7 linked regions of the Oryctolagus cuniculus genome follow. The protein of the gene in region 7 interacts with the protein of the main gene of each other region in a pairwise test. Links are inferred from orthologs where the notes say so. Each region holds a gene or a part of one and is shown on either strand. Other genes may lie near its edges. The genes, in order: ASB7, SH2D4A, ABITRAM, BYSL, AEBP2, WT1 and HMBOX1.

The links.
Region 1: the proteins of HMBOX1 (region 7) and ASB7 interact in binary tests that used the Homo sapiens proteins (3 or more experiments, as listed by UniProt). The two-hybrid records come from large-scale screens. The link is inferred for Oryctolagus cuniculus from reciprocal best matches to the Homo sapiens genes HMBOX1 and ASB7.
Region 2: the proteins of HMBOX1 (region 7) and SH2D4A interact in binary tests that used the Homo sapiens proteins (3 or more experiments, as listed by UniProt). The two-hybrid records come from large-scale screens. The link is inferred for Oryctolagus cuniculus from reciprocal best matches to the Homo sapiens genes HMBOX1 and SH2D4A.
Region 3: the proteins of HMBOX1 (region 7) and ABITRAM interact in binary tests that used the Homo sapiens proteins (3 or more experiments, as listed by UniProt). The two-hybrid records come from large-scale screens. The link is inferred for Oryctolagus cuniculus from reciprocal best matches to the Homo sapiens genes HMBOX1 and ABITRAM.
Region 4: the proteins of HMBOX1 (region 7) and BYSL interact in binary tests that used the Homo sapiens proteins (3 or more experiments, as listed by UniProt). The two-hybrid records come from large-scale screens. The link is inferred for Oryctolagus cuniculus from reciprocal best matches to the Homo sapiens genes HMBOX1 and BYSL.
Region 5: the proteins of HMBOX1 (region 7) and AEBP2 interact in binary tests that used the Homo sapiens proteins (3 or more experiments, as listed by UniProt). The two-hybrid records come from large-scale screens. The link is inferred for Oryctolagus cuniculus from reciprocal best matches to the Homo sapiens genes HMBOX1 and AEBP2.
Region 6: the proteins of HMBOX1 (region 7) and WT1 interact in binary tests that used the Homo sapiens proteins (3 or more experiments, as listed by UniProt). The link is inferred for Oryctolagus cuniculus from reciprocal best matches to the Homo sapiens genes HMBOX1 and WT1.

What each region holds. Positions count from the first base shown.
Region 1 is NC_091443.1:9,960,430-9,964,710, reverse strand, and holds part of ASB7 (ankyrin repeat and SOCS box protein 7), read right to left. Parts: intron 2,065-4,281; coding exon 1,459-2,064; intron 1-1,458. UniProt on the Homo sapiens protein: Probable substrate-recognition component of a SCF-like ECS (Elongin-Cullin-SOCS-box protein) E3 ubiquitin-protein ligase complex which mediates the ubiquitination and subsequent proteasomal degradation of target proteins.
Region 2 is NC_091439.1:3,448,419-3,452,699, forward strand, and holds part of SH2D4A (SH2 domain-containing protein 4A), read right to left. Parts: intron 1,986-4,281; coding exon 1,855-1,985; intron 1-1,854. UniProt on the Homo sapiens protein: Inhibits estrogen-induced cell proliferation by competing with PLCG for binding to ESR1, blocking the effect of estrogen on PLCG and repressing estrogen-induced proliferation. May play a role in T-cell development and function.
Region 3 is NC_091432.1:212,644,766-212,648,199, reverse strand, and holds the end of ABITRAM (protein Abitram), read right to left. Parts: intron 2,825-3,434; coding exon 2,748-2,824; intron 2,670-2,747; coding exon 2,600-2,669; intron 2,234-2,599; coding exon 2,096-2,233; 3' UTR 848-2,095; downstream 1-847. UniProt on the Homo sapiens protein: Actin-binding protein that regulates actin polymerization, filopodia dynamics and increases the branching of proximal dendrites of developing neurons.
Region 4 is NC_091436.1:127,973,455-127,977,135, reverse strand, and holds the end of BYSL (bystin), read left to right. Parts: intron 1-1,039; coding exon 1,040-1,200; intron 1,201-1,374; coding exon 1,375-1,477; intron 1,478-1,950; coding exon 1,951-2,296; 3' UTR 2,297-2,621; downstream 2,622-3,681. UniProt on the Homo sapiens protein: Required for processing of 20S pre-rRNA precursor and biogenesis of 40S ribosomal subunits. May be required for trophinin-dependent regulation of cell adhesion during implantation of human embryos.
Region 5 is NC_091440.1:117,171,176-117,175,456, reverse strand, and holds part of AEBP2 (zinc finger protein AEBP2), read right to left. Parts: exon of another isoform or gene 3,018-4,281; intron 1,448-3,017; coding exon 1,192-1,447; 3' UTR 1-1,191. UniProt on the Homo sapiens protein: Acts as an accessory subunit for the core Polycomb repressive complex 2 (PRC2), which mediates histone H3K27 (H3K27me3) trimethylation on chromatin leading to transcriptional repression of the affected target gene.
Region 6 is NC_091432.1:33,515,728-33,520,008, reverse strand, and holds part of WT1 (Wilms tumor protein), read right to left. Parts: exon of another isoform or gene 2,317-4,281; coding exon of another isoform or gene 2,307-2,316; intron 2,250-2,306; exon of another isoform or gene 2,019-2,249; intron 637-2,018; coding exon 514-636; intron 107-513; coding exon 4-106; intron 1-3. UniProt on the Homo sapiens protein: Transcription factor that plays an important role in cellular development and cell survival. Recognizes and binds to the DNA sequence 5'-GCG(T/G)GGGCG-3'. Regulates the expression of numerous target genes, including EPO.
Region 7 is NC_091433.1:45,104,529-45,108,809, forward strand, and holds part of HMBOX1 (homeobox-containing protein 1), read right to left. Parts: intron 1,485-4,281; coding exon 1,008-1,484; intron 1-1,007. UniProt on the Homo sapiens protein: Binds directly to 5'-TTAGGG-3' repeats in telomeric DNA. Associates with the telomerase complex at sites of active telomere processing and positively regulates telomere elongation.

The sequences.
Region 1 (4,281 bases), on a different chromosome or scaffold from region 7:
CCAACTTGAGGATGGACACTGAGGCACAGAGGACTCAGGGCCCCGGCCCGAGGTCACAGCCGACACGGGCAGAGCCAGGCTGCAGATTCCCTTGGGCCAGCTCTGGCCTACGCCACTGGCCACAGCGGGGCCGAGGCACCATGTGCGTGTAGAACGCGCCTTCCCCAGGGCAGCCACACAGCTTTACCAGGGAGTCTGCGGTGGACGTTAAAATGACGACAACAACAAGACTGGAGGTAGCCGGCAGCCCCCGTCACAACATCGCCTGCCCCGGGCCTCTCCCCAGGCGGGCGGATCTGTGCTGACCTGCAAGGGGTCATGAGCGTCTGTGGCCATTTGCGTGTGACTTGGTCACAATTAGGTAACGATTAAAATGGCAGCTCCTCAATGGCACTGGCCGCCTGACAGGTTCCAACTGCAAGAGGCTAGTGGCTGGCAGGGCAGTGATCATTCCCACCAACCCAGGAAGTTTTCTTGGCTACAACGGAGTTAGGGCTCAGTGATTTTTTTTTTTAAGTGCTTGAGTCTGAATATATTTATGATATTTCCTTCATCTTATCCCCCATGACAAATGCATAAAATCCAAATTGCATTTCATTACTTTGCTTCACACCAAAGTTCAGCTCCCAGGGGGAGAGAGGGTTACTCACAAGCAAGCCAAACAAATGCCTTGCCCCCCAGCGCCTGGCACCCAGAACGCCAATATTTCTTCTTCTACAAGGTTGCAGAAAGCTCAAAGTCGATGGCAGCAAAGGGGATTCATTAAAAACGCAGCAGAGTAAAATCAATTTGGTTACAGATTAGGCTTCGTGTTGGGTGCTAACCTCTGGGACAGGCACTCGACCGGTTGGCCACGGGGAAGCTTGCTGAGGTGGTGGCTGAGCCCACGGAAGCCAGACCCCCAGAAAACACCCTGCACACACAAGCTACCGCACGGGGCGGGCCAGCCTCTTCCAGGCTCTGAACCACAGTGCCACGCAGGCGGAGCTCGGATGTGACAGAAACTGCGCGGCCCAGGTCTCCCTGGAGCCCGGCGTCCCTCGGAGAGCGGGAGTCCCTCACCACAATCTCTGACCCCTGCACCTATGCTATGCGGGCACCCACGCAAGTAACACGGCTGTGTTCCACGTCACGTGGGTGCACAGGAAGCAAAAAAGCCAAGCACTCACCGTGAAAGCACAGCGTCCTGGAATCTCAAGTCCCAAACTGCCCCCACCTCTCCCAGGCTGGCACCCACTCTGCCCTCCTCTCCGTCTCCACCCTCTCCGTCCAGCCCCACTGACTCCACTGTGAGACAGGACCGTAGAAGGCAAGCTGTGGCTGCATGAGGCGTTACTCGCCAGGCAGGGACGCTGCGTGATTAACGTCTGGTCATTTTACGTCAGCAGTTACGTGAAGGCCCTGAGAAGACTCAAACTCAAACAACGCAATAATAGTAATAAGAACAACATTACGTACTTGTGACTTCTTGTAAGAAATCCAGACACGGCCGGCTACTTCCAGAGATGCTTACTGAGACAGCCAGTGGGGTCTGCCCCTCGTAGTTCCTTGTGTTCGTGTCCGCTCCGTAATTATACAACATCCGTGCACACAGCACATCGTCCCTGAGGGCGGACAAGTGCAGAGGGGTCTGGCCGTCCTCTAAGCGCCCCAAGTTTGTGTCTGCCCCTCTCTGGAGGAACATGCGGCAGTAGGAGTGATTGCTCTTGATCACGGCGTAGCGCAGCAGGAAGCCGTTCTGGATGTCGATGTTGGCATTGTGGTCCAGCAGGATCTTCACGCAGCTGGACCGCTCGCGGATAATGGCGAGCTGGAGCGGCGTCGTGCCTTTATCGCTGAGCGGGTCGACCTCGGCCTTGAACTCCAGTAGGAGCCGGACAAACGAGTCCCTCCCGTAGTGGGCAGCCACGTGGAGGGGAGTCCAGCCGTCGTTGCTTTTGGCATTAATGATGTCGCTCCTGTATTCAGACTCCAACATCAGGCGTGCAATCCGGGCCCGGCCATGCATGGCTGCATAATGAAGAGCGGTGAAGCCTCCGATTAAGTCCTTCACTGTGGGGTCGGCTGGAGTTGAAACCAAAGCGAGACGTTAGCGGACCTCGGCCGAGAGCACACCCTCCAGGGCGCAGCACGCTGGTGCCCCGGCTCACACACATGCGGAGACCCAACACCACCAGGAGGCAGCAAGTACGATTCTCCCCCCACCCCCGGCTTTACCAAGCGCTAATTTTCCCAGAAAATAAACCTGAGCAGAAAAGTGACCCAGCCTGGGCCAACGGAGGGAGACTTAGCAAGTATTTCAACAGGCAGACGAAGAACAGAGTCCAGCTCCCCACCACCACTTCCCCCTTCTTGGCTCGCTGAACCACAGCCTGGGGCACAGCCACCCTCCACCCCCTACCCTGTGTCTGTGTTGTTTCGTATGTCTCTCCTGTTCGGTTTTGGTTTTATTTTCTCCTGTGCTTCTTCTTGGTCTTAAAAGAGAAGTGTGTGTCGCAACACCCGCTGCTCCAAATGACGACGTACTGCGTCTGGCAGGCCGACTGTCTCAGGGCACGTTAGGTAAAAATACTAATTGTCAGCGGCTTTCCGTGGTCTGTGGAAAGCCCAAGGCATGTAAGGTTGTAGTGAAATGACCTGGATAACGCGTGTTCTCACCACAGAAAAGCCTAGTCTGGACTCTTGGTTTTTCATGAACTTTATCGTTCATCAGAATTGAGAAGGACAGTATGTGACAAACTCGGAGAAACCCCAGCACCGTACACATTTTTCTAAAAGTTTCCAAAAACCGGCACTCAACTGCTACTGGGGAGAAGCTGTTATCTGACCCTTGCAGCGCGTTCCTCCGTCACCTGCCTCAGCTCCTCCACCGAGCCACAGGCCAGTGCTCTGCGGCTTCCGTCCCACTGACTTCTCTGGGCAATGGCAGAACAAGAGAGTTTTGTGTCTTTTCCTTCAAAGCCATGATTCAATGGCTAAGACAAACTGTTCAGACCTAACTAAGATCAGAACGCTTTCTTCTTATACACTGCCCTTAATTGCTGGTCTGTTTACAGAAGAGAGAAAATAATGTTTTTCACATGTTAAATGACTCCAAAGTTATGGGTGTAAACATTCATGTATTATTTGATAAAATATCACTTAGTTCTGCAACAGAGAACAGCCGGATGCTCTCCCGGGAATCGATGGGGCAGAGAAACTGTAAAACAGGAATAATACCAAAACAGTGCACATTTCAGGTAAGAAGGAGCTGTTAATAAAACATACAAAAGCAAGTTACATTTGTGTAGGTTTCCAAAATCATTTAGTATAGAGAAAGGACACAGAGGTAGTTCTACTTTTATCTATTTAGAGAAAATGAGGCTGTCCTGTCGCCCTTGGTCTTAAAGGAAAGAAAATCAAACTGTAACTATTCCCCACAAAGCTTAAAAAAAAAAAAAAAAAAAAGCAAGAACATTTTGCCATGGCACTCTGCTGCCACCTACTGGTAAAGCATACATATGCGCTACTCCTGCCACTGATCACAGAGCTCTGGTCCCGGGGACCTGCTGCACCTGCCTCACTCACCAGGCTGGGGCTAGGTGTGGACCGGCAGGGTTTTTAGGGGATCACCTCTATCCTAACGAAACAATAAACTGTCCTAGTGTCGATTCCAATCTCTACCTGCCCAGCCACTGCTTCCACGTGCTCTCTCTTAACCTATACTCCAGCCTTTCACCCTCCAAGGGTGCCTTTAGGGTGCCAGGCACCACCCTGTCTGCAGCCTGCACTCCTGACAATAACATCAAAGTTCCGTTACAGCAGATCCCGCTTGCCCCTCTGCTCCCCACTCAGGACTTAAGAACTTCGCTGCCCCCTGAGCTGAGGACGCTCACAGCCTGACACGGCAGTGACCTGCTTCCTAAAGCCACTGCACTGAGAGCACCCGGGGACACAGCACAGAACGAGGAGCTGGGGGGTGCAGGGCAGCGCTAACAGAACGGGAGATGCAAGGCAGAACTGAAGGACTATTATCAGCCAATGCAATAAGACAAGAAAACGAGTTCACTTGGGAAAGCAACAGAAACCTCAAAACACCTGCGTATTAAGAAATGTGCCAGGCACCCATGGAGAAAACCTTGCTGAGGGAGCTAACTGAACTCCCCCAAAACACAACCCCGGCCACTTCGATAACTTCTTCCCTTCCCTTTAGCAAACGCTTCCCCCCAGGCAGGGCTTATTCTAAACAAGCGGCAGGTAATCTCAACAAACCCATTTAAATCAGTCTACCTACCAATCTAT
Region 2 (4,281 bases), on a different chromosome or scaffold from region 7:
CGAGAGCACAGCACGGCCGCCCTCCTCTCCACGCCTCTGACGCTGCTGTCACTGCTCCTCCCAATGCCTCCAAAGCAGAAACAGAAGGGAGGTGCTGCCACCTGCTCCCTGGGAGCGGACACTGACCAAGGCCTCGATCACCGAGGGACGCTGTCTCCAAGGGGACGCTGGAACATTCCGACAGCGAAAGCAGCCCTCGAGGAGAAAGCCTGCCACGGAAAATTCCGTTCTCGGAAGACGTGAGCTCGTGTCAGGAGCCTGTTTCTCACGTGTGCTGTGGTTTGTGCCTGAGTCTGTGTATACGTTTGGACGCTGACTGTCGCCCTACACCCGCCATGTAACACAGAGGTCCCTGTGTTACAGGTCTGGCCCTGGAAGTCTCTGTTAACACTATTAAGAGGGAGGGAGCTTGACATAATTATGGTGCTCAGACATGGTGTCTCTGGGAGTGACTGGCGTGGATGAGGCTGTTGGGGTGACCAGAGTGTGGTGGCTTTTTAAGAAGAGATAGAGGGTGCTGGCGCTGTGGTACAGCAGGTGAAGCTGGCACCTGGGACGCCAGCATCCATATCGGAACCTGTTCATGTCCCGGCTGCTCCACTTCCCAGCCAGCTCCCTGCTAATGTTGCTGAGAAAAACAACAGAGGATGGCCCAAGTGCTTGGGCCCCTGCCGCCACGTAGGAGACCCAGAAGAAGCTCCTGGATCCTGGCTTCAGCCTGGCCCAGGCCTGGCTCTTGTGGCCATTTGGGGAGTGAACCAGCAGATGGAAGATCTCTCTCTCTGTCTCTCCCTCTTTTTCTGTAACTCTGCTTTTCAAATAAATAAAAGAAGAAGGAGGAGGAGGAGAAGAAACAGAGACACCTGCTTGTCCCCTGCTGTCAGATGCTGTGGACTCTTCAGAAAGACCACCGCCGCCAGCAGCCGGGCCCAGGGGGCTCACCGACATTGCACAGGAAAGCTCCAGAATCAAGAGCCCAAACAACCCTGTGTTGTGACGTTACCGTCTCAGATGTTCCGCTGCAGTGACGAACGGCTAATCAAATGTATGAGGTGATACGGCCTAAAGAAGAGATGCCTCAGCCAGCATTTAAACCAAGATGCTCCAGTGCAAGCAGGCTCCTGGAGAGAACTCTGTCACTGTCATGGTCATCTCTGTGTCGTGCACACGGCCAGGTCAGCAGGCTGACCACAGGGCTCAGGGAAGCCACAGAGACAAGGAAGCAGGGACCCTTCCTGACACCCCAGCAGTGGTGGTGAGCGAGACCCGAGCCTGCAGACGGGGGGCTTCGGGGCTGCACGCTCCGTGAGTCAATTACAGACACGGTTTATTAGCCGACACCTGCCCAGCATGCAGTACCACCCGCTGGGGTCTTCACCACACGCCAGAAGATTGGACCACAAAGCCCACCTCTTCCTCAGAACACAGGAAGGCAGTGAGGCTCAGCCGCACGGGTCTGCTACAGCAAAGGAGATGACGAGCTCAGGGTCACCGGCTGCTTGCAGGAGAGGAGGTGGGGTCCACTGCCCGACCCCTGGCCTGACCCCTGGCCTGACCCAGGGCCTGTCCACCACAGCCAGCTGCCTCCCGGGCAGGCCACAGGAAGCAGAGCGCTTCCCACTGGCCCTGGGGCGTTCTGCTGGTGGAGCCAAATTAACCGGCAGTGCACGCACGCCCGCACGCTCGCTCCCAGGCACCGGGCATGCCGGCTGCTTCCTAAACAGCCACAAGAATGCGACGCCCTCAGCAGCCTTTGAAGAACTCCCTTGTGGGGATGCTTTCAAAGACTCCCCCGGCAGCACCAGTGAAAGGGGGCTTTGATTCCCCCTCCTTCCCGGGGGCCTCGGAACTCACCGTGGAACCAGGGGGCGATGGCATCCGAGGTTTTCTGGAGCCCCGCTCGGAAGGGCAGCTGCTCCTCTTTAAACCACCGGATGATGTCCTCCTGGGCGGAGCTGGAGGCCGTCCTGGTCACTCCCTGAGTCCTGGCATCGTTGAGAAGGTTTGTGAGAGAGAGTGAGCTCACTGGAAAACCAGCCACACACCCACACCCACACCCACACACAAGGTGACTTCCAAAAATCCACAGAAAAATGGGATTTAAACGTAGCTTTCTTTTGCTGCACATAAGATGAAATCCACAGTTTTTTTCACAGCACATGCATTTTTCATGAGCTTTTTGCAGACCCTCTTGCAAATACAGACTTCAAAAACTGCACCAAAATAAACATTATCTTTTAATTCCTCTTTCAATGAACTTTCTGAAGAAACTGTGTGTGTGTGTTTGTGTGTGTGCACATGTGCCCGAGGGACAGAGAATTACATATATTTCGTTGTTTTTTTTTTTGTTTTTTTTTTTGACAGGCAGAGTGGACAGTGAGAGAGAGAGAGACAGAGAGAAAAGTCTTCCTTTGCCTTTGGTTCACCCTCCAATGGCCACCGCGGCCGGCGCGCTGCGGCCGGCGCACTGCGCTGATCTGATGGCAGGAGCCAGGTACTTATCCTGGTCTCCCATGGGGTGCAGGGCCCAAGCACTTGGGCCATCCTCCACTGCACTCCCTGGCCACAGCAGAGAGCTGGCCTGGAAGAGGGGCCACCGGGACTAGAACCCTGTGTGCCGGTGCCGCTAGGTGGAGGATTAGCCTAGTGAGCCGTGGCGCCGGCCACATGTATTTCAATATCAAATTCCACGGTCTGAGCTATGGGCAGTCACACCCCCTGCACCCCACCACTATACAAATAACTCCTCAAGAGCAGAAAGCTGGGCACTGGTTTGAGTCCCGGCTGCTCTACTTCTGATCCAGCTCTCTGCTATGGTCTGGGAAAGCAGCAGAAGATGGCCCAAGTGCTTGGGCCCCTGCACCCATGTGCAGAAAGGGACGCAAATCTGTCTCTTGTCCTTCCACCCAAGGGGCTGGTGGCGGCTATGGGGTACTGCTATGCTAACAATGAGGTCTGACTTTATTTCTAATGTAAATTAGAAGCACCACTGACTCGCAGTTACAATGTGAGAAAACACGCATTAGCAGGTAAAACACACCCCAGCACTATTTTCCTAGAGAACATACACTTGCAAACACAGTAAGTGGGGAAAGATAAATTCTTTCCTAACCTGTTCACAAATGGCCTCTCCTTTCTCTGCCCCCTCTAACCTCGCTGCCTTGCCTTCTCCCCCACACTGTGAAGAGGGTTTGTTCTGCTACAAGATGGCCTCAGAGACTGAAGACTGGGACAGCAGAGAAGATCACTCTGAGATAAATTCAGTAGCAGAATTTCAGTTCTGGGATGTTGAGGGGATTTCCTCTACAAAAAGAAGCGCTGTGATGTCAGAAACCCATTCCCCAGGCCTCCTCCTGGCTCACTAACTCTAAGCAGAACTCAAAGGTGACAAAGAGGGGCCGGTGCTGTGGCGCAGTAGGTTAATCCTCCACCTGCGACGCCGGCATCCCCTATGGGCGCTGGTTCTAGTCCCAGCTGCTCCTCTTCTGATCCAGCTCTCTGCTATGGCCTGGGAAGGCAGTAGAAGATGGCCCAAGTCCTTGGACCCCTGCACCCGCATGGGAGACCCTGAAAGAAGCTCCTGGCTACAGATTGGCCCAGCTCCAGCCATTGTTGCCATTTAGGAAGTGAACCAACAGACGGAAGACTTCTATGTCTCTCCCTCTCACTGTCTGTAACTTTCAAATAAATAAATAAAATCTTAAAAAAAAAAAAAAAGTGATGGCTGGTGCCGCGGCTCACTAGGCTAATCCTCCGCCTTGCGGCGCCGGCACACCAGGTTCTAGTCCTGGTCAGGGCGCCGGATTCTGTCCCGGTTGCCCCTCTTCCAGTCCAGCTCTCTGCTGTGCCCTGGGAAGGCAGTGGAGGATGGCCCAAGTGCTTGTGCCCTGCACCCCATGGGAGACCAGGAGAAGCACCTGGCTCCTGCCTTCGGATCAGCACGGTGCGCCGGCTGCGGTGCGCCGGCTGCAGCGGCCATTGGAGGGTGAACCAATGGCAAAAAAGGAAGACTTTTCTCTCTGTCTCTCTCTCTCACTGTCCACTCTGCCTGTCAAAAAATAAAAATAAATAAATTAATTAAAAAGTGACAAAGAATCTGGATGGGCCTCTTAGGCATTTTATAGGAGCGAAGGAGAGGCTGCTGTCGGTCATGTGTGACATACATGTCACATGCACAGACACGGGACATGTACATCTGTGTGTCTATGGCAATGGCCCTCATTGCTTTCAGAGCAGTCTGGAGGCAGCGGCCTATGGCATTTAACTTTCCTGGGACGCCAA
Region 3 (3,434 bases), on a different chromosome or scaffold from region 7:
TAAAACTAATTTTAAATTTTATTTAAAAGATGTTGTTAGCCGGCGCCGCAGCTCACTAGGCTAATCCTCCGCCTTGCGGCGCCGGCACCCTGGGTTCTAGTCCCGGTCAGGGCGCCGGATTCTGTCCCAGTTGCCCCTCTTCCAGGCCAGCTCTCTGCTGTGGCCCGGGAAGGCAGTGGAGGATGGCCCAAGTGCTTGGGCCCTGCACCCCATGGGAGACCAGGAGGGGCACCTGGCTCCTGCCTTCGGATCAGCGTGGTGCACCGGCCACAGCGCGCCAGCCGTGGCGGCCATTGGAGGGTGAACCAACGGCAAAGGAAGACCTTTCTCTCTGTCTCTCTCACTGTCCACTCTGCCTGTCAAAAAAAAAAAAAAAAAAAAATTAAAAGATGCTGTTACAGGCCGGCGCCACGGCTCACTAGGCTAATCCTCCACCTGCAGTGCCGGCACCCCGGATTCTAGTCCCGGATGGGGCACCAGTTCTGTCCCGGTTGCTCCTCTTCCGGTCCAGTTCTCTGCTGTGGCCCGGGAATGTAGTGGAGGATGGCTCAAGTGCTTGGGCCTTGCACCCGCATGGGAGACCAGGAGGAAGCACCTGGCTCCTGGCTTTGGATTGGCGCAGCGCGCCACCCATAACAGCCATTTGTGGGGTGGATCAATGGAAGGAAGACCTCTCTGTCTCTCTCTAACTCTGTCTGTCCAAAAAAAAAAAAAAAAAAAAAGATGCAGTTACATACTTCAGTAGGTGTGGGGAGGGGGTAATATTTGACTTCAACAGCGTAAGAGGATAGAAACTGTAAAAAACACAGCTGTTTAAATATATGTAGTCTAAGGAAAAAGTGACATGTTTTCTTAATGTCCTTTATTTGGAATTCATTGTAAATCAGTATCCAATTTTAAGCCATAAATTGAGTTAGTTTGTTTCTTTTTAAGGATGTAGAAGTCTTTGTTGTGTTCAAAGGCAGAAGCTTGTTAGTTACCCAGTCACCAGAGTGACCTTGGTTGACTACAATGTATCCACTATGAGAACCAACTTAAGTTGCCTTATTTTCCATTTGTTAAGGCAGAATTTGGTATTTTTCAAAGATGTGTTCCTCATTTAGTTAATAGGTGTGAGGAGGACAAAAGGTACACTCTACACTCCAGCCTCTTCCTGTAACTTACAAACAGGCGGGGGCCAGCTCTCTGCTGTGGCCAGGGAGTGCAGTGGAGGATGGCCCAAGTACTTGGGCCCTGCACCCCATGGGAGACCAGGATAAGTACCTGGCTCCTGCCATCGGATCAGCGCGGTGCGCTGGCTGCAGCGCGCCAGCCGCGGCCGCCATTGGAGGGTGAACCAATGGCAAAAGGAAGACCTTTCTCTCTGTCTCTCTCTCTCACTGTCCACTCTGCCTGCCAAAACAAAAACAAAAACAAACAAAAACAAAAAAAACAAAACAAAAAAACAAAAAAACAGGCAGGACAAGACTTTGTGTCACACTCAAGCAGGGTGAAGAAAGGTCATTTAGGTTTTTGAAAAAACTTCAAACTGATAGAAAATTGAAGTAAAAACAACAGCCATGCCATAATGTTCAAACAATAGAAGTATGTCAAAATACAGTATTTACTTCCATTTAATACGATGAGGATGAATAAATCAGTTACTTAAAATTTCTCCATGTTTGCCAAATTTTACCCAAAGAGGGGTGTGTGTGTGTGTGTGTGTGTGTGTGTGTGTGAGAGAGAGAGAGAGAGAGAGAGAGAGAGAGAGAGAGACGGAGAGGGAGGGAGAGAAAGAATGAATCAAAATGCATCCCCTGCTTGAGAGAGAGAGAGAGAGAGAGAGAGAGGGAGAGAAAGAATGAATCAAAATGCATCCCCTGCTTGCTTGTTTACTTGGAAGCAAGGGAACAGGGTGAGGGTGAAGACAAGTGGGAGCCAAAGCTTATCAGGCAAGACAGAGGGAAAACTAGGTTAAGTGAAGGCTTAGGGCTCTTCTGCTGATGGCTGGGGGAGAAATGTGCTTCACACATTATGCTGCGTCTCCTTGAGGGCACTGATGGTTTAGGCCAGGTAAGGCTAAGAATCCCATGTTGCTCTGGCTCCATTGCAGTCCTCATGATGTAGCTGTAGTAGCATCAGCGCGTTTCAGCACAACTTCTTCATACTGTTTTTGTGTCAGTAAGCCTTCTGTTATGCTTTTGCTTTCTTCAAATTTGGGTAACACAACTGCAATGTAACCTTCAGTAGATGGCTGGAAAGGAAATAGAATATTTAGTACTGGCAAATATATCAGGGGGGTGGGGTGGGGTGGGGTGCGTATTTGGCACAGCAGTTAAGCTGCTGTTTGGGGGGAGGGGCTGTGCTCAGGTCCCAGCTCTGCTCTCAATTCTAGCCCTCTGAGGAAGTGGGTAATGGCTCAGTGGGTGATGGCTCCCATCCATATGGGAGACCCAGACTGAATTCCAGCTCCTGGCTTCAGGCATCTGGAGAGTGAACTAGTGAATGGGAAATCTCTCTTTCTCTGCCTTTCAAATATACTAATGAATAAAAATTCAAAAACGGTTTAAAAATCCCTTAAAAGATACAGGGATGAGATCATATATTTTTCCTCTTTTACCTTTTCTTGAAGAATAGATGGCTCATGGAGAATGTTTTCATTCACTTCCATCAACCGTCCCCTCACACAGCTATTAAAAACAGAATTATTTGTATGAAAAATATTATCTGCTTTGTCTCTCCTAAATGATGGTGAAAAAGTTACTCACCTAGATATGGTATATTCTTCTCCATCTGAGCAGTAAATCTTACACAGAGGTGCGAATTCTGTTAGAAACTGCGCCCCCTGTGTGATGGAAGGGAAGAAGTGAGGAATTGATGGACATTTCTCCAGCTTCCCTAGAGAAGCAGCCCACAGTGCTGCCAGTATATCTGGGCCAGCATTGTGGTAGCTGGGATAAGCTGCCACTTGGGATGCTGGCATCACTAATATGCTCTTAAAATTGTCTGTGGTGTGAAACCCTCTTTCAATAAAATGTCATCTTGCCTGGACCTGTGGAGATACCATGTTTCATAACTGAGGACTGTGAGGAGGTAGAAGGTGGTGTGGGTAACTGTGTATTAGACTGGCAATGCAAATACTGTATGTTTTCTCAGGTTGACATATTTTCCTACTCTGTCCAGATTTTTTCCTTTTAATTTACATGTGAAAAATATGGTAAAGAAGACATGGTCACCTAAATTTTATAGAGCTCAAGACACTGGTTTAATAAACTAGAAGGGACAAAATACCTTGTTGATGTTAGAGGTGTCTGTTAAAAGGCCCGCATTCCCCCTCCTCCATCCTGGAGATAAGCGAGAGAGTGGCCCACAACCTAATATGACAGATGTAACTCCTGAAATATCCAATCTTTCTGGTCTGAGAATCTCTTTAGGGTTCAAGGATACATAAAACC
Region 4 (3,681 bases), on a different chromosome or scaffold from region 7:
GTAAAAAAGAAAATCTCTTTCCTACACCATTCATAGTAAGAGATAGATATAGATATCTCCCCCCCCCCCCCCCCGAAAGGCAGAAAGAAACAGACTCAGATCTCCCATCTACTGGTTCACTCAAAATGCCTGCAAAAGCTGAGGCTGGGCAAGCTAAAGCCAAGAGCTAGGAACTCAGTCTGGGTCTTGTACATGAGTGACAGGGACTCAACTACATGCGTTATCACCTGTTGCTTCCCAGGAGCAGAACCAGGACTGGAATCCAGATACTCCCATGTGGAATATAGGCAACCAGGTGGCTTTTTTCTTTTTTCTTTTCTTTTTTTTTTCTTCTTCTTTTTGAGAGACAGAGTTACAGAGAGGTCCTCCATCTACTCCCCATATAGCTACAATGACTGTAGCTGAGCTGGTTTGGAGCCAGGAGCTTCTTCCAGGTCTCCCACATGGGTGCAGGGGTACAAGCACTTGGGCCATCCTCCACTGCTTTCCCAGGCCACAGCAGAGAGCTGGATCGGAAGTGGAGCAGCTGGGATATGACCCGGCGTCCATGTTGGATGCTGGAGCCCCAAGCAGAGTCTTAGCCTCCTGTACCACAATGCCAGCCCCCATGTGGCATCTTAACTGCTATGCCAAGTACCTGACCCCCAAATGATGTTTATTTTTAAATATCTTTTTATTGGAAAGGCAGAGTTAGAGAGAGAGCTTGATGTTGTATCTGTTGGCTCACTCTCTGGATGGCCTCAATGATCAGGGTTGGGCCAGGCTGGAGCAAGGAGCCTGGAACTCATCCAGGTTTCCCCACATAGATGAAAGGGGCCCAAGCACTTGAGCCATCTTCCATTGTTTTCCCAGGCACAACAGCAGGGAGCTGGATCGGAAAGGGAGCAGCTGGGACTTGAATTGGCCCTCAAATGAGATATAGATATTGCTGGCAGTGGCTTAATCCACTGTGCCATAATAGCAGCCTCCACCCAGTGATATTTAAAGGGGTAAGTCCAGACCTATCATGTGACTTGGGGACTTCCCCTCACCCCACTAGGATTTTTGCTTCTAACCTGAAAGAACGCATGGCCCAGCGCTTCTACAACCTCGTCCTGCTCCCCCGCATACGAGATGACATCGCTGAATACAAACGACTCAACTTCCATTTGTACATGGCGCTCAAGAAGGCCTTGTTCAAGCCTGGAGCCTGGTTCAAAGGTGGGCACCCAGAGGCAAGGAAGGAGCGAGGGGCTGGAGCGCCTGCAGGTGAAAGCTGACCTGTTGCGGGAAGTGGGTGTCTCTAGTGCTGGCCCCTGGGGCTGGTGCGGGGGTTTCCTGGTGTACCTTCCTCTCACCCTGGGCTGGGAGTGACTACCCTCTGCCTGTCTCCAGGGATCCTGATCCCCCTGTGCGAGTCAGGCACTTGTACTCTCCGGGAAGCCATCATCGTGGGCAGCATCATCACCAAGTGCTCTATCCCTGTGCTGCACTCCAGGTAGTGTTGGTGGGGCTCGAGGAGGACTGCGCAGTGCACAGAGTGGGGTGGCCAGGACTTGGGGAGAGGGTAGCGACAGGAAAGAGTAGAACAGCTGTGGATTTGTGGCTGGTTGAAGCAGTGGGTGTGTCATTGCTTCACTAGAATGTAAGTTCCACTAGAAGAGGATCCCAGCACCTGGCATATGGCAGGTGCCCAGTAAATAGTGGAATGAGTAGGGCACACAGGGAGGAAGTGAGGTGGGGGTGCAGATGTCAGCATGTTTGGACATTCTAGTTGGATCCTGGGACAAGTGTCTAAGCCAGAGGTAGAGGTGGTAACTGCAGTCAAAAAAGGATGAAGTTGGGTAGGTGAGGAGGCCTGAGATGGCCCCCTTGGGAACACCATTGTTAAGGGCCAGCAGAGGGGAGAACCAGGCTCCCTCCTCCAGCGTTTCCCCATGGATTAACCCTACCACGCCACCCCTTCCCCAGCGCGGCCATGCTGAAAATCGCCGAGATGGAATACAGTGGTGCCAACAGCATCTTCCTACGACTGCTGCTGGATAAGAAGTACGCACTGCCCTACCGCGTGCTGGATGCCCTGGTCTTCCACTTCCTGGGGTTCCGGACAGAGAAGCGGGAGCTGCCCGTGCTCTGGCACCAGTGCCTGCTGACATTGGTCCAGCGCTACAAGGCAGATTTGGCCACAGAACAGAAAGAAGCCCTCATGGAACTGCTCCGGCTGCAGCCCCACCCACAGCTCTCCCCCGAAATCAGGCGGGAGCTTCAGAGTGCAGTCCCTCGTGACGTAGAAGATGTCCCCATCACCATGGAGTGAGGAAGACGGTCACCTGTCCTGGTCCAGTGGGCATGGGAGGACACCAGGTCCCCTGGGTGACTGAAGATGACACTGAGCTTTTTATGCCTGAAGACCAGGGCAGTGACAAGGTCACAGGGCATCTGTGGCTCCCAGGCCGGGCAGGGTGGCCTGAGAGTCTGTTTGGCTCCCTCCTCTCTTCTAGGCCTTCGTCCCTGCTCCCTTGGTGAGCTGATGTGATCCACAGCCCAGCATTCCCACTCCCCAGCTGGGGCTTGGTTTAAGCACACCTTCTCCGCCTGTTTTATCAAGTCACTGGGAAAAACAAAGACGGGTATTTATTGAACCTGCGTTCTGCTGCAGTTGATGAAGGTCTTTCTCCTTCTCTGTGGCTGGAGGTGGGAATTTCCTCTTCCCTGTTGTTGTCTCGGGAGTGGGATCTTTACTCAGTTTACACAGCAGCCGACCTTAACCTCCCAAGTGCTTCTCCAGGCTGCGTGCCTCCAGTAGCCCCCAGGGGCACATGCTCTGCCTTCCCCTTGAACGAATGACACTGTTTAGTTAGTTGGGTAGAAGGCCAGCCATGGGGTTGTTCAGAAAGTAGTGGTTTCTGGGCCATGGATGGAACAACTACAGAGGGGAGATGGGTCTGCAGATGAGGTGGGATCAGCACCAGATAGATTCCCTTCCTAGGTTTTAAGCCAATCAAAGCTTTAGGCCAAGGGCTGGTATTGTGACACCAGCATCCCACACTGGAATACCAGTTTCAGTCCTGTCTGCTCCACTTCCAGTCCAGCTCCCAGCCAATGTACCTGGGAAGGCAGCAGAAGATGGGCCCTTGCTACCCATGTGGGAGGCCTGGATGGAGTTCCAGGCTCCTGGTTTTGGCCTGGCCCAGCCTTGGCTGTTGTGCCTATTGAAGTGAACCAGTGGATTGAAGATCTCTCTCTCTGTTTGATGCCCTTTCAAATAATCTTAAAAAAAAATATTTTATTTGAAAGGCACAGTTACAGAGAAGGAGGGAGAAGCAGAGGCAGAGAGAGATCTTCCATCTGCTGGTTCACTCCCCAAATGGCCACAAAGGCCAGAGCTGGGCCAATCTGAACCCAGGAGCCAGGAGCTTCTTCCGGGGCTCCCACAGCACTTGGGTCATCTGCTGCTGCTTTCCCAGGCCACAGCAGAGAGCTGCATCGGAAGTGGAGTAGCCAGGACTTGAACTGGCACCCATTTGGGGTGCCCGCATTGTAGGTAGTGGCTTTATCTGCTACGCCACAGCACTGCTCTGTGGGGAGCAAACCGGACTAGACTGAGTTACTGGAATTAAGACTTATTCTATGCATCTGCTCTCCCACAATATGGCGATGGGAGAGAAGCAAACAGCTTCCGCACAGCTGCCTCCAGTTCAA
Region 5 (4,281 bases), on a different chromosome or scaffold from region 7:
ACATTCAAAGACACCTGCTGGAACTTTTCTATGAAAGCCTCAGCGCTATCTGTGCAGAACTACCTCCATTGAGCCCACTTAGCAGAGGTGAACTTCTGTTTCACAGCCCGCGTGGGGTTTTCAGAACTTTGCATAAAGTGTCTTTTAATAGACTATGCTTGGATTGCAAATTTCTTTACACCAAAGTAAATTTACATTTTAATTGCATTTCACAAGGAACTCTTTAGAGTATCCTTTGACTGTCATTTCCTAGCTATGGAATCTCCCTCAGAAAACCCAATGCTTTTCTAAAAAATCTCCCAAATGTAATAAATTTTAGACAAACAGAAGACTTTTCAGCGACCCAAATACAGAATATGTTTGAAGCAGTTTTAACAGAAACATATAAATATGGCAAGCTTCATATCAAATTTTTAAGGTTTTTTAAAATGTAGGTTTTCCATAACCAAAGCATACAAGTATTGAAGAAAGTCAGGGTAGGTAGGCAGTGGCCAGTCTCTGAGATCAAAACATTCAAATAAAAAAACCAAATACTCTGTACTTTCTCCAAAGAGTGTTATTTTAAACTATTATGTATAACAAATATAATCAAGGTTTTTTTATTTAGAGACAGGTTCCACCCAATAAAAGTATTTTTAGTGAAATTAACCAAAATGATTATAACTTAATATATGAACTATGTGTAACAGTGATACACTCTTTACACTGAGACTCTTTAGACAAACTGAAGCCAAGTTCCCTTTATACAGAACATTATAACCTTTTTCATGTTTTCTTGCTACAATTCTTCAAAATAACTTATTGTAAAAAATCTGCATGGGAATTCCTGGCAAAACCCATTGAAAGCAAGTCCGTTCTGATTTTCAGATAAGCAGAACCACATGCAACATGACTCGGGAATTAATAAAGCTTGGTAATTTTTTCAAATTTTGAAGATAAAAAATTTGAATATAGTATTTCATGACTACATTTTTAAGGCATCTTGGTATTCATAATAACTAGAGATGAAAAAATACTCTAACCTTTAATTAAATATGAAAACTTGGCACTTATTAAAAACTGCAGTGTTAAAACTGCAAAATGTCCTAACAAGTCAAAAGATTCCTTAAGAATTAAAAAGGGGCCGGCGCTGTGGCGCAGCTGGTAAAAAAGTCAACGCTTGCAGTGCCGTTGTCCCATATGGGCGCCAGTTCAAATCTTCGCAGCTCCAATTCCGATCCAGCTCTCTGCTATGGCCTGGGAAATCAGTGGAAGATGGCCCAGGTCCCTGGGCCCCTGCACCCGTGTGGGAGACCAGAAGCAGCCCCTGACAAGGAAGAAGCTCCCTGCCTCCTGATGTGCGCAGCTCCAACCCTTGCGACCAATTAGGGAGTGAACCAGCCGATAGAAGAACTCTCTCTCTCTGCTTCTCCTCTGTGTAACTCTGATTTTCAAGCAAATAATAAATCTTAAAAAAAAAAAAGGTTTTCAATCAGAATCCCCAAAATTTACTTCTCTGAAAAAATCTGTTTTGAATGACATATCAATTCCCTTTTCACAAATATATACATATATATATATATATATATCTTTGTAGTCTTAACTTCACACATTGTTACACAACTGTCAGTTTTCTATATTAAGAATGTACATAAACTATGATTTCTGTGTGCCTTTTTGGAAAACTGATGCAAAGGTAGTAAAGATATTTTTAAAGCTATACTAAACAGAAAATATACCCATCTAGTATTTTAAATCACTAATATTTTCCCATTTTTATGTTTCATTTAAAAATAAGAAATTAGACATCTCTTAAAAGAATTCAAAGAGCAAACAAAAGATGTTTCAAACAATTGTGGCAAAATCTATGTTCTTAAGAGGATTCTACATACTTAAAACATTTTGTTAATGTGTAAAAGGGAAAAAACACTTTACATTCAAAGGATTGCAAACATGATTATCAATGCTTTTAATGAATGAAACAGGATTTTAAAACATGCATTGACAGTTAATCACTGTCAATTGTAATTTCATCTAAAATCTGGAAGTAATGTGTTCTACTTTAGGGAAAATTCATATATGAAAATGTTTATTAGAAAAATAAACAACTTTAAATTTTACAATATTTTCCACTTCAATATTCTTTTAGATAAAGCAGATGCGTCTTATGGTTCAAACATATCTGATTTTCATATTTAGTCCTACTTTGTAAAACAAAATACGAAAATACAAATGGTGAAAGAGTAGACTATTAACACCTATTAAGAAATCCAATGTAAAATGTTTTCCAAAAAGATCATTTGTTGTAGATACTTTAAAAAGCAGTATTTACTAAAAGTCTATCCGTTTTCACTGAAATTTACTGTACTGTCATGTCACCAAGATAAGTACCACTGCATCAAAATCCAAGGTGTGTGGTCTAAGTCCATTTTTTCAAAAAAATTTTACTAGTTAGACCAAGCACCAGTGAACTTTTCCTTAAGACCAGAGAGTAACTATTTTAGGGTTGTGGACCTTAAGGGCTTGCTATTCACTTCTGGCTTTGCAGGGAGAAGGCTGTCACAGATAACACATGGAAGAACACTTATTCAGGAAGGCTGCAGTTTAACTAGCAACTGACTACACGAGGACTTGGAAAAGGGATAGATTACTACAGGCATCACATTTGGGAGTAGAAGGAACAATAAAAATGGGTAGAGATTTAATACATGATTACACGAGTTAAGATTTTCACTTATTTCCCAATCATAATTGGAATACGTGTATATATGTATACATATATAAAACAACCTCATTTTAAGTATTCATTCTTTTTGGTATGACAGTAATACTATTAAAGTAAAGTCAGATAAGCAGAAAACCATCATGAATGATAACATAATCAGCAGGTCATCAATAACCAGGAAATTTGGTTTTGACACCTAAGTATTTCTACACAATGGAAAAAAACTAATTTATTCTCTGTGTCCCTAAAGAATATTAGCTGTATATTTTCAGATGTAATTTTAAAATTTAATTGAATTGTTACAATTTGAAGCTAAATGCAATTTGTTTGTTTTATTAGAAAAAATACTCAAGCAAGGTCTACAATCATCGGTCAATTAAAAATGACTTACAAGAACATGAGGCAATAAAATAAAAATACAGGTACAAACTATATATCTGAAACACTTCTATTTGGCAATGTTATAACAAATCAAAACTTAAAAAGAACAAAGGAGATCGCAGATTACTTCGCAGATACAGAATAAAGCAACTGATGAAGTGCTTAAGCAAAAGAAAACAAAAAAGTAAGAAAACACACTGCTTTTCTTTTCAAAAATAAATCACATTTGCTACAGATGGTATGGATAATACCCTTATTAAACAACCATTCCAGAATGTCTTATAGCAGTGCTTTTTATTTGCACTTCATTTACTTTTATATGACTCATTTCACATATATAGCTCTTTACCCTCCCATAATTTTTATTTATTTTTTATTTTTTAAAGCAAATGAGAAATGACTTAAGTATCATGGAACCTTTCCCATTTTGGAACCAAAGGCTTACTTCTATATTTTTGTCTACTCTTTTAAAAAATTTAGTGTAAAAACTGCTGGTTTTTATATCATTGTAGTAAAGTGAAAGCTCCTTAATCAGGAGTATTTTCTGCAGTTTGACTGCATATAACCACAAACTTTACAATATGTCCTTCCAACAGCAAGGAAATAATGGATTTCACGGTCACTGTCAGAAATGAGTGCCATAATTCTATTATGGGTGTAGGTCCTCCCTCAAAGACGTTCTGGAAGGATGTTCAATGTGTTTTGTTCTTATAGATATTAACAGTAGTACATAGTCCCTTAAGTCTGCAAAAGACATTTATTGTTAAAGAAGGTGCTTTATTAACAATTCCTCTGGCAGCACTAGTGAATTACAATATCCTTCAATATTATTTCTACCATAATATATACATTTAACTTTCATGCCTCTAGAAAAACATCTACAGTACATTTCATAATATAAAAATATATTACAAATCTGCTGAATTATTTACAAGCAATGTTCTATTATCTCTATGCAACATTTGTCTCATACAATACTAACAAGTTACACATATTTCCATTTCTGTAAGTAAAAAACAAAAATCCATATGGCTTCTTGCTTAGCAAGCAAGAAAATGATTTTATTTCCTTTTCAAAACCAACTTTGGTGCATAAAAGATTCAGTTTGAAGATACTTTAAAAAAAATACAATTTTTCTTATATTGATAAAAACAACTCAAAAACCAAACTGCTCTCCTCAGGAAAAAAATTAGTCA
Region 6 (4,281 bases), on a different chromosome or scaffold from region 7:
TACCTGCTGTAGGGCGTCCTAAGCAGCAGGGCCTGGCTGCCGGTGCAGCTGTCGGTGGGCGTGTGGCAGCCGTAGACCGGAGGCGGCACGGAGTACTGCTGCTCGCCTGCCGAAAGAGCAAGGGTAACAGTCAGCGCGACTCCCCCGAAGGCTCAGAAAAGAAAGCCTGGGGAGATGGGGACGCGGAGGCCAGGGTGCGGGGCATGCAAGAGCGGGGCTGTCGTTCCCAAAGAGCTGGGCGCGTCACAGTCCCTGCGGGGCGCACAGGGACTGCAATTCCCTTGGGAATTGGCTGCAATGCGCTTTCTACTCCATGGGATGAGAGACTCGATGCGATGGGAGGAGACTCAATTTGTTTTTTTCTTTAAGATATTAGAGTGGAAATGTGCTAATTATTTCGAAGGTTCCTTTAGATGTCCTCTGCTCCCTTCCCCAGTTGGCTGGGGGTTGGACATTTCTGAGTGGGAAGGGGACTTGCACGGAAGAAGACCCGCGTGGTTCCCGCCCGCTTACCCAGCGAGCCCTGCTGGCCCATGGGGTCCTCGTGCTTGAAGGAGTGATTGGGGAACTGCGCCGCGTGGTGCGAGGGCGTGTGGCCGTAGCTGGGCGTCCCGTCGAAGGTGACCGTGCTGTATCCTGCGGGAGCGGCAAAGAGACACACAACACAGTGTCAGCGGGGCTCTCCGGAGACAGAGCCCCTGGATGTGAGCCAGACTCTGGGCGTGGGGTGGTGCTGACCCCCACGCATTCAGATCCCCAGCGGAGGCTGATCCCACCCCACGCGTCCCCCGGGACTTTCTCGGCGGGCAGCCAGACCCAAGCCTCAGGACATGGCGTGGGGACGGGCTCCCCATCCTCTGCCCACTAAAACCCTGGTCTCCCCCGCCTTTTCCCAATTTATGTACACCTCGGTCTTGCACAGCGGCGTCTGCCGCTTCTGCCCCGAACCTCCCGCAAGTTAAGTGTAAAACCCGTCGCCCGCCCCGCCGGAGAAAGTAATTCTCCCCCCAAAACAAACACCGCGGCTCTCGCGCAGGGCCAGCGCGGGCGAGCGAAATGAATCTGTTCCGCTGACCCCGCGCTGACTCCGAGCTGTAAATCAGGGGCCTGCGCACCAACTTTCATTAATTACTCCGAGCCAGCGAAACGGCCTGCGCTTTCCATAGAGAGAGTAATTACCGAGTAACGTTATCTGTCTGGGGCTGCACCACCCGACACCCTCGGCTAAGCGGTGAGGGGGAGAGGAGGGGGCACTCCCCTGCGCCCCCTCCCCCACCGCCTCCGACCACCTGGGGCTCCCAGGGACCGGCGCTGACCACTGCTTCGGTGGTCAGCTACCTTGCTCCACGGAACAGAAAACGGATTTCTTTTTGGAAGTGTTTGATACCGTGTCTCCTTTTCCCTCCACGGCAGCATTAGGGGCCCTCTGCCTCAGTTTCCCTGCCGAGAAATCCAGGGCAACATCTTCCCCGAGAGTGAGATAAGAAATAAGGTGGCTCGGTTGGAATACGTCGCTTATGATTATCGTTATTAAATCGCTTTAAACATTTCCCCCGCCAGGTTATATTGGAAGCTGTGGCCGCCTCTGCGGACAACGCATCCTCTGGCTAAAGATAAGCTCTGAACCCAAAAGGTGCTGGTTCCTGAGATCCACGCGGAGTGGCAAACGGAAGAGCAGCCGGATGCGGACATCCGCTCCCGCAGGGCCACCACCAGTTCCTTCGAGGGTCTCCAAACCCCACGGAATTCTCGGGCGTGAAGTGCGGGAAATGGAACCCAGGCCCCCTACTCTTGCCCGGGTAGGATCAAGGGTTAGCAACAAGTGTCCCCGAAGTCCGGCAAGACGGCGCAACGAAGCCGTTACCACCGCCGCAAGAACAGAAGACGCGCGTCCACCTGCAACTCGGGGAAAAAGGGAAGCTCAACCCGACTGTGCAGTGTCAAGGGGCGGGAGCTGGGGGGCGGGAGCAGCCGGTAATTGCTCGCTCCGTACCAGTCGGGCGCTAAGTCTCACGCACCTTCTGCGTGACCCCACGGGGCCTCCACTTCTGGCCTGCCAAGTAGTCCGAGATAGCCTCCGTCCCGTTAGCTCCTAGTCGTGGGTGAGCACGCTGGGGCCCCCAGGGGCTTCCTTCTGGGGTCGGAGGCTTAGCCCTGTGTAAGGCCTAACAATCAGTTTACAAACGAAATTTGGCTGCGGGCAACCAACATTGGCCAGTGGGTTAGTCGAATTTCTAAAATACCATTTAAAAAAGAAAAAAAAGGGGAGAAGAAATAGAAGTGACCCAAAAAAATCCTAGACAAACCCTTCTCCATTTCTGAGCCGATGAGCAGGCAGTGACCAGGGGCACCGCACGGTTCCGGGAGACTGGCGCCGCAATCGTCAGCACGAAGCGAGCGCTGTGGTTTCCGTGGCGGCTCCCGCGCTGGCTGCGTTGGCTCCGCGCCCCAAAACTCTGGCCCAGGGATGTCTGTGCCTACCCGCCCCCTCCCGGACAGGACACGCAGGCCTCTGTAGGTAGGAGCTGTCCTCGAACCCCTCCCTTGGGTCTCCCGAGACAGGTGGTGATGAAAGCGCCTGCTGAACGGGTAAGGGCTCTTTTAATTAGAAGCTTATCAGACGCCGGACTGATTAGAGAACGCCATCCCTGGGTCCCGCGCTAGGCCTGTAGCGGAGGGGGCGGAGGCGGAGGACCTGGAGGCGAGGCGGGGGGATGTGGGGGTGGGTTGGCAGCTGCGGGCGGGAAGGAGCCCTGTGTTCAAAGGCTCCTTGCACAGGCCTTGGAACACGAAGCCCTAGCGGCCAAGGTAGCGCCTTTCCCACGGTTTCTCCGGGTCCGGGAGGGGAGCACAACCTTGACCGCGCAGAGAGGCAAGACAAGCTCTGAGCCTTCCTCCCCCGCCCGCGGCTGCGGAGGAGCCCGGGAATCCCGGGGAAGCGAGGGATGGGATGGGCAGCAGGCTCTGCCCGGAAGGTGCTGAGAAGTCTGAAAACCACGACTTTGCAGCTGCAGTGGAATCTGAGAAAATCTGTCCGCCAAGGAAATCCCTTGTCCCAAGTGAGGGGAGGGTGTTGGGAGAGGGCTGCTTTTGGCCCTCAGAGGACACTGGTCTCTCCACCTGACCCAAAGGTGGCCTGTGATCCCGAGGCCTGGTCTGCTAGGGCTCTGCAGGCCAAAGGGCTTAGGGGATCAGCAAAAGTCTGGCAAGCAAGCTCTCACCCCTTCCTGAAAAGCCAGCATTCAGTCTGGGGATACCTCAGGCCTCACCCTACTTATGCCCTAGCAAACCTCAGCCAGGCAGAGGAAACCCTTTTCCACAGTGGGGCCAAGATCCCTGGAGGAGGAGGTAGACCCAGCCTGGAGTGCTCTGAGTCAGAGCCCAGCTCTGCCACAAACGGAGACCTCTTGCAACCCTCATCTCTTGGAGCCTCCATTCCCTCATCCAAAAACAAAGGTCTCCTTAAGTGTCAGGCTGTGAGCTTCTCACAAAGGTTTTAGAGACCATTAATTGTCTTACCATTCAGTCCCCAGTGCCTGGCACTGAGTAGGCATTTGATGTCTGCTAAATTAATATTTACAGTGGGATGCCAGTTGTATTTCAGAAGCAGAGGGTGAGGAGAATGAACAGGCTTGTGAAGCTTTGTGGGGAAGGGGGAGATGTGTGAGTGGGCATCAGCGATTGTCCCTGTCTTGGGCCATGCCTGGACTGCCCTGCCCGAGGATAGGTATCCAAAGACAGCCTCCATTTCTGGCCCCTGGCGTTTGGCCTTGGCAAGTTATGACCATTCTCTGGAACAGCCCTTGAGTCCCCTAGCCCCAAGCATTGGGCCAAGTCCTGCTTTCTAAGGGAGCTGCAAGAACCCAGGGAAATCAAAAGAATACATGTGGACTCTGGAGGCACTAAGGGCCTTCCCTTTTTGGCCATTCAGATAGGCTCACATCTCACTGCAGCTCTCAGCTGCCAAGGGACCCCCAAGGGCTGGGCCTGCTCAACCCATTTCTGTTTTGTTTGGGAGAGAAAAATCTAAGCTGGCAGACTTGGGGCCATCTCCCCATCTGGCTTTCCCCCTGGGAAGGATAGGCAGATGCAGTTACCTGTTCATTCTGGTCTCCCACTCCTACTCTTGAAGCCTGTCCACTGGAAGGGCCTTATAACTGTCCCCAGGAGTGCAGTGTCCACTGGTTGAGAACCTCACCTCTGCCCCTACATGTAGGTGGAATTGATGGAATCTAAGCACCTGCCCACCAGGAGACTGGACACTGGGGCCCCAACCAAAGC
Region 7 (4,281 bases):
AGCTATTAGGGGAGTGAACCAGCAGATGGAAGATGTCTACCTTTCTGTAACTCTTTCAAACAAAGGAAAATAAACCTTTTTTTTTTTTTTTAAAGGGCTTATCAGCTAGCAAAGAGAAAGAGATGAAGTAGAGAAAATCTGAAATAAAAACATAAAATTTTGGGTCTGGCCTATGGCGGAGCAGGTAAAGCCGCTGCCTGCAGTGCCGGCATCCCAAATGGGCGCTGATTCAGGTCCCATCTGCTCCTCTTCCTATCCAGTTCTCTGCTATGGCCTGGGAAAGCAGTGGAGGATGGCCCAACTCCTTGGGCCCCTGTACCCATGTAAGAGACCTGAAAGAAGCTCCTGGCTCCTGGCTTCGAATTTTCTCAGCTCTGGCTGCTGCAGCCAATTGGGGAGTGAACCAGCAGATAGAAGACCTCTCTCCCTCCCTCCCTCTCTCCCACCCTCCATCTCTCTCTCTCTCTAGCTCTCCTTCTCTGACTTTCAAATAAATAAATAAATCTCTAAAATGAAAACACAAAATTTTGACCGGTGCCATGGCTCACTTGGTTAATCCTCTGCCTGTGGCACCGGCACCCTGGGTTCTAGTTCCGGTTGGGGCGCCGGGTACTAGTCCCAGTTGCTCCTCTTCCAGTCAAGCTCTCTGCTGTGGCCTGGGAGGGCAACGGAGGATGACCCAGGGCTTGGGTCCCTGCACCTGCATGGGAGACCGGGAGGAAGCACCCAGCTCCTGACTTTGGATCGGCGCAGCGCTGGCCGTAGCAGCCATTAGGGGAGTGAACCAACAGAAGGAACACCTTTCTCTCTGTCTCTCTCTCACTGTCTATAACTCTACCTATCAAAAAAAACCCACAAAATTTTAAGAAATATTTTTCATCTCAAAAGAAGGGCAGGAAAAAAAAATCAGAAGTCTTACAGCTAAGTAACTTAAATATAGCTTATTATTTAACAACAATTTAAGAACACAGACATTTTTAGGGGTCTCAACAAGCAAAGTAACTTACCTCATTAACTCCTCTACTTTATCATCTACATCTAAGTCCTCTTCTGAGGCTTCAAAACTGTATGACCTCTGACCCATGCTGTTTGCATGGTAGCGAGTTGGTGACATCTTTCCATTGGATGTGGACAATCGCTCATTATTTTCCCTCCCATTTTGATTGGTAGTACAAGGCTGAGGGGAGGTATCATAACTGTTGCTGGGTGAAGGGGACATTCCCGAATGCTGAGTCTGTGTGGAAGCTGTAGCTGTAGAAGAAGATGCCGGAACATTGTTGGTACTGTTCCCGTATGTACTTCCTCCATAGCTGGACCTTCTTCCAAACTTGTCACTATGCTCTTGATCAAGACGGTCTAAAGTTTCCAAAGCATGGAGAATTTCATGTTTAGTCATCCCAGTACGCCGAAGGCGCTGAAGCAGATCTATCTGCTCTATGGTAAATCTGGGTTCATCTGTATAGTGAGACATGGTTTCCAGCAAACTAAAAAAAAAAAAAAAAGAAAGAAAAATAAGTATCTTTATCGACAATATTTATCAAGGCATATGTCATTATGAAGAATGCAGTATTTCTACATTAACTTGTTTTCTTTTCTACATCTACTTCTTAATTAAAAGCAGCAAAACATGGGGCCAGAGTTGTATGTTATAGTGAAGCAGGTAAAGCTGCCACCTGTGACACCAGCAACCCATATGGACACCGGTTCATGTCCCAGCTGCTCTATTTCCAAACCAGCTCCCTGTTTATGCCCTGGGAAAAGCAGCAGAAGACGGCCCAACTGCTTGGGCTCCTGCCACCCACATGGGAGACCCAGAAGAAGCTCCTGACTCCTGTTCTGGCTGTAGTAGCCATCTGTGGAGTGAACCAACAGATGGAAGATCTCTCTCTGCCCCCCCACCAACCCTCTCTCTTTGACTTTCAAATAAATAAATCAATATTTTTAAAAAACAAGTTGTAAAGGGCCAGTGCTGGGATACAGTGGGCTGAGGCCCCAGTTTGCAGGGCTGGCATTCCATATGGGCGCCAGTATGACTCCTGGCTGCTCCATTTCCGATCCAACCCCCTGCTAGTGCACCTGGGAAAACAGCGGAGGATGGCCCAAGTCCTTGGGCCTGTGCACCCATATGGGAAAACTAGAAGAAGCTCCTGGCTTTGGATTGGCTCAGCTCTAGCCACTGTGGCAATTTGGGAAATGAAGCAGTGGATAAAAGACACCCCCCCCTCTCTCTTTCTCTAACTCTGTCTTTCAAATAAGTGAAATAAAGCTTTAAAAATAAAATAGTAAGATATGTCCCACATCAGAATGTTTTTGCCATGGCAAATGGATTGTTACAGGTATTGAGTTGATTAGCAGGTGAAAACTAAAAATAACAAAACTCATTTTTTTCTTTTTTTTTTTTTTTATATTTCTTTATTTTACTTGAAAGTCAGAGTTACACAGAGAGAGAAGAAAGGCAGAGAGAGAGAGGTCTTCCATCTGCTGGTTCACTCCCCGATTGGCCTCAATGGCCGGAGCTGCACTGATCTGAAGCCAGGAGTCTTGTCCGGGTCTCCCACGCAGGTGCAGGGGCCCAGGTACTTGGGCCATCTTCTTCCGCTTCCCCAGGACATAGCAGAGAGCTGGATAGGAAGTGGAGTAGCCAGGACTCAAACCAGCACCCATATGGGATGCTGGCACTGTAGGCAGTGGCATCACCCGCTAGGCCAAAGTGCTGGCCCCAAAACTCAATTTCATATGGCATACAATATACATTTTCCTCAATTCTGGTAAGCATTCTGAAAAAATTTTAGTTACGACAATAATACCAAACAATAGATGTAGATTAAGTACATATAGATCATTAAGCCCAGGCTATGTGATAACTAACAGGTCTTTGTTTTTTCCATTTTCAATATGTTATTTTTCATTAGAGTATTAATGAAAAGTTGCTGACCAAATATCTGCAAAGTAAAACTGAGAACTCTATGTATAACTTCACTTAGTGAAAACAAATGATTTGCTAAGCAAATACTTATAAGCAGTAAAATTATTTAAGTGGAAAATAAAAGAGGTTTATAAAAAAACTTATTAAGTACGATTCATCCACTACTTAGCAATTTCATCAGTTTTTCATTTCTGTAATGCATTCTCTCTTAATCCTGAAAAATGGATCTTCTACGGTAGCAGCCAAACCAAGCCATTTATTTTTCTTAAGAAATTGCTTCTATGTTTTCTCTACTTAAGACAAGATATTGCAGCACACCAGAAAATATTTTCTTAGAGTGAGTAACAAACATATTAAGAGTTGTCAAATATAAAAATTCTCACTAGTTGAATTTTCTATGAAATCTGATTTTTTTTTATATTAAAGATATTTGAAAGTGGTAATCTCTTCTATTTTAATTTTTATTGTTCTAGCACCAAACAGGATGGATGGCATGCAGTAGCCTGTTAATAAGTTTGCTGATGGAGCACATGTCAAGGAATTTTCTATTCCTTTACAGGTAACTGTCAATTTGGGGCCAGTTCCTATAAGCTATTGCAGACCTCATTGTCCACTGTCTCTTTAGCCCTCTTCAGGGGGTGGGAAATGTCTGGCCCACAGGTTGTATAAGGCTTGGGAAATCATTTGTTCTGGCCCTGCCAAGGAAACGGCAGGAGAAACTCAAAGTTCAGTAATTTCTGTAATTACTATAATTACAGTAAATCTATAGCAGGCTAATTTTTAGGTTCATGATTTTATATGGCCCATGAATGATACTGTAAATATCCAATTGACCCCTTGGCAGAAAAAAAAGATTCCTTATGCTTATATACTGTACTAAAAATTTACTGAACCTTCACTTCTAGGGAAGAACTTGATAAAGAGTTTCTTAAAATGTAATCTCATCTAATTCTAATAGCAACCCTCTGTGGTAGCTATTATTTATTTTATTTCATTTCATATTGATAGGTAGATGAACTGCTAAAGAAATATAGGCTCAGGGGCCGGCACTGTGGCTCAATAGGCTAATCCTCCGCCTTGCGGCGCCGGCACCCTGGGTTCTAGTCCCGGTTGGGGCGCCGGATTCTGTCCCAGTTGCCCCTCTTCCAGGCCAGCTCTCTGCTGTGGCCCGAGAGGGCAGTGGAGGATGGCCCAAATGCTTAGGCCCTGCACTCGCATGGGAGACCAGGGAGCACCTGGCTCCTGGCTTCGGATCAGCGCGGTGCGCTGGCCACAGCAGCCATTGGAGGGTGAACCAACAGAAAAGGAAGACCTTTCTCTCTCTCTCTTACTGTCCACTCTGCCTGTCAAAACAA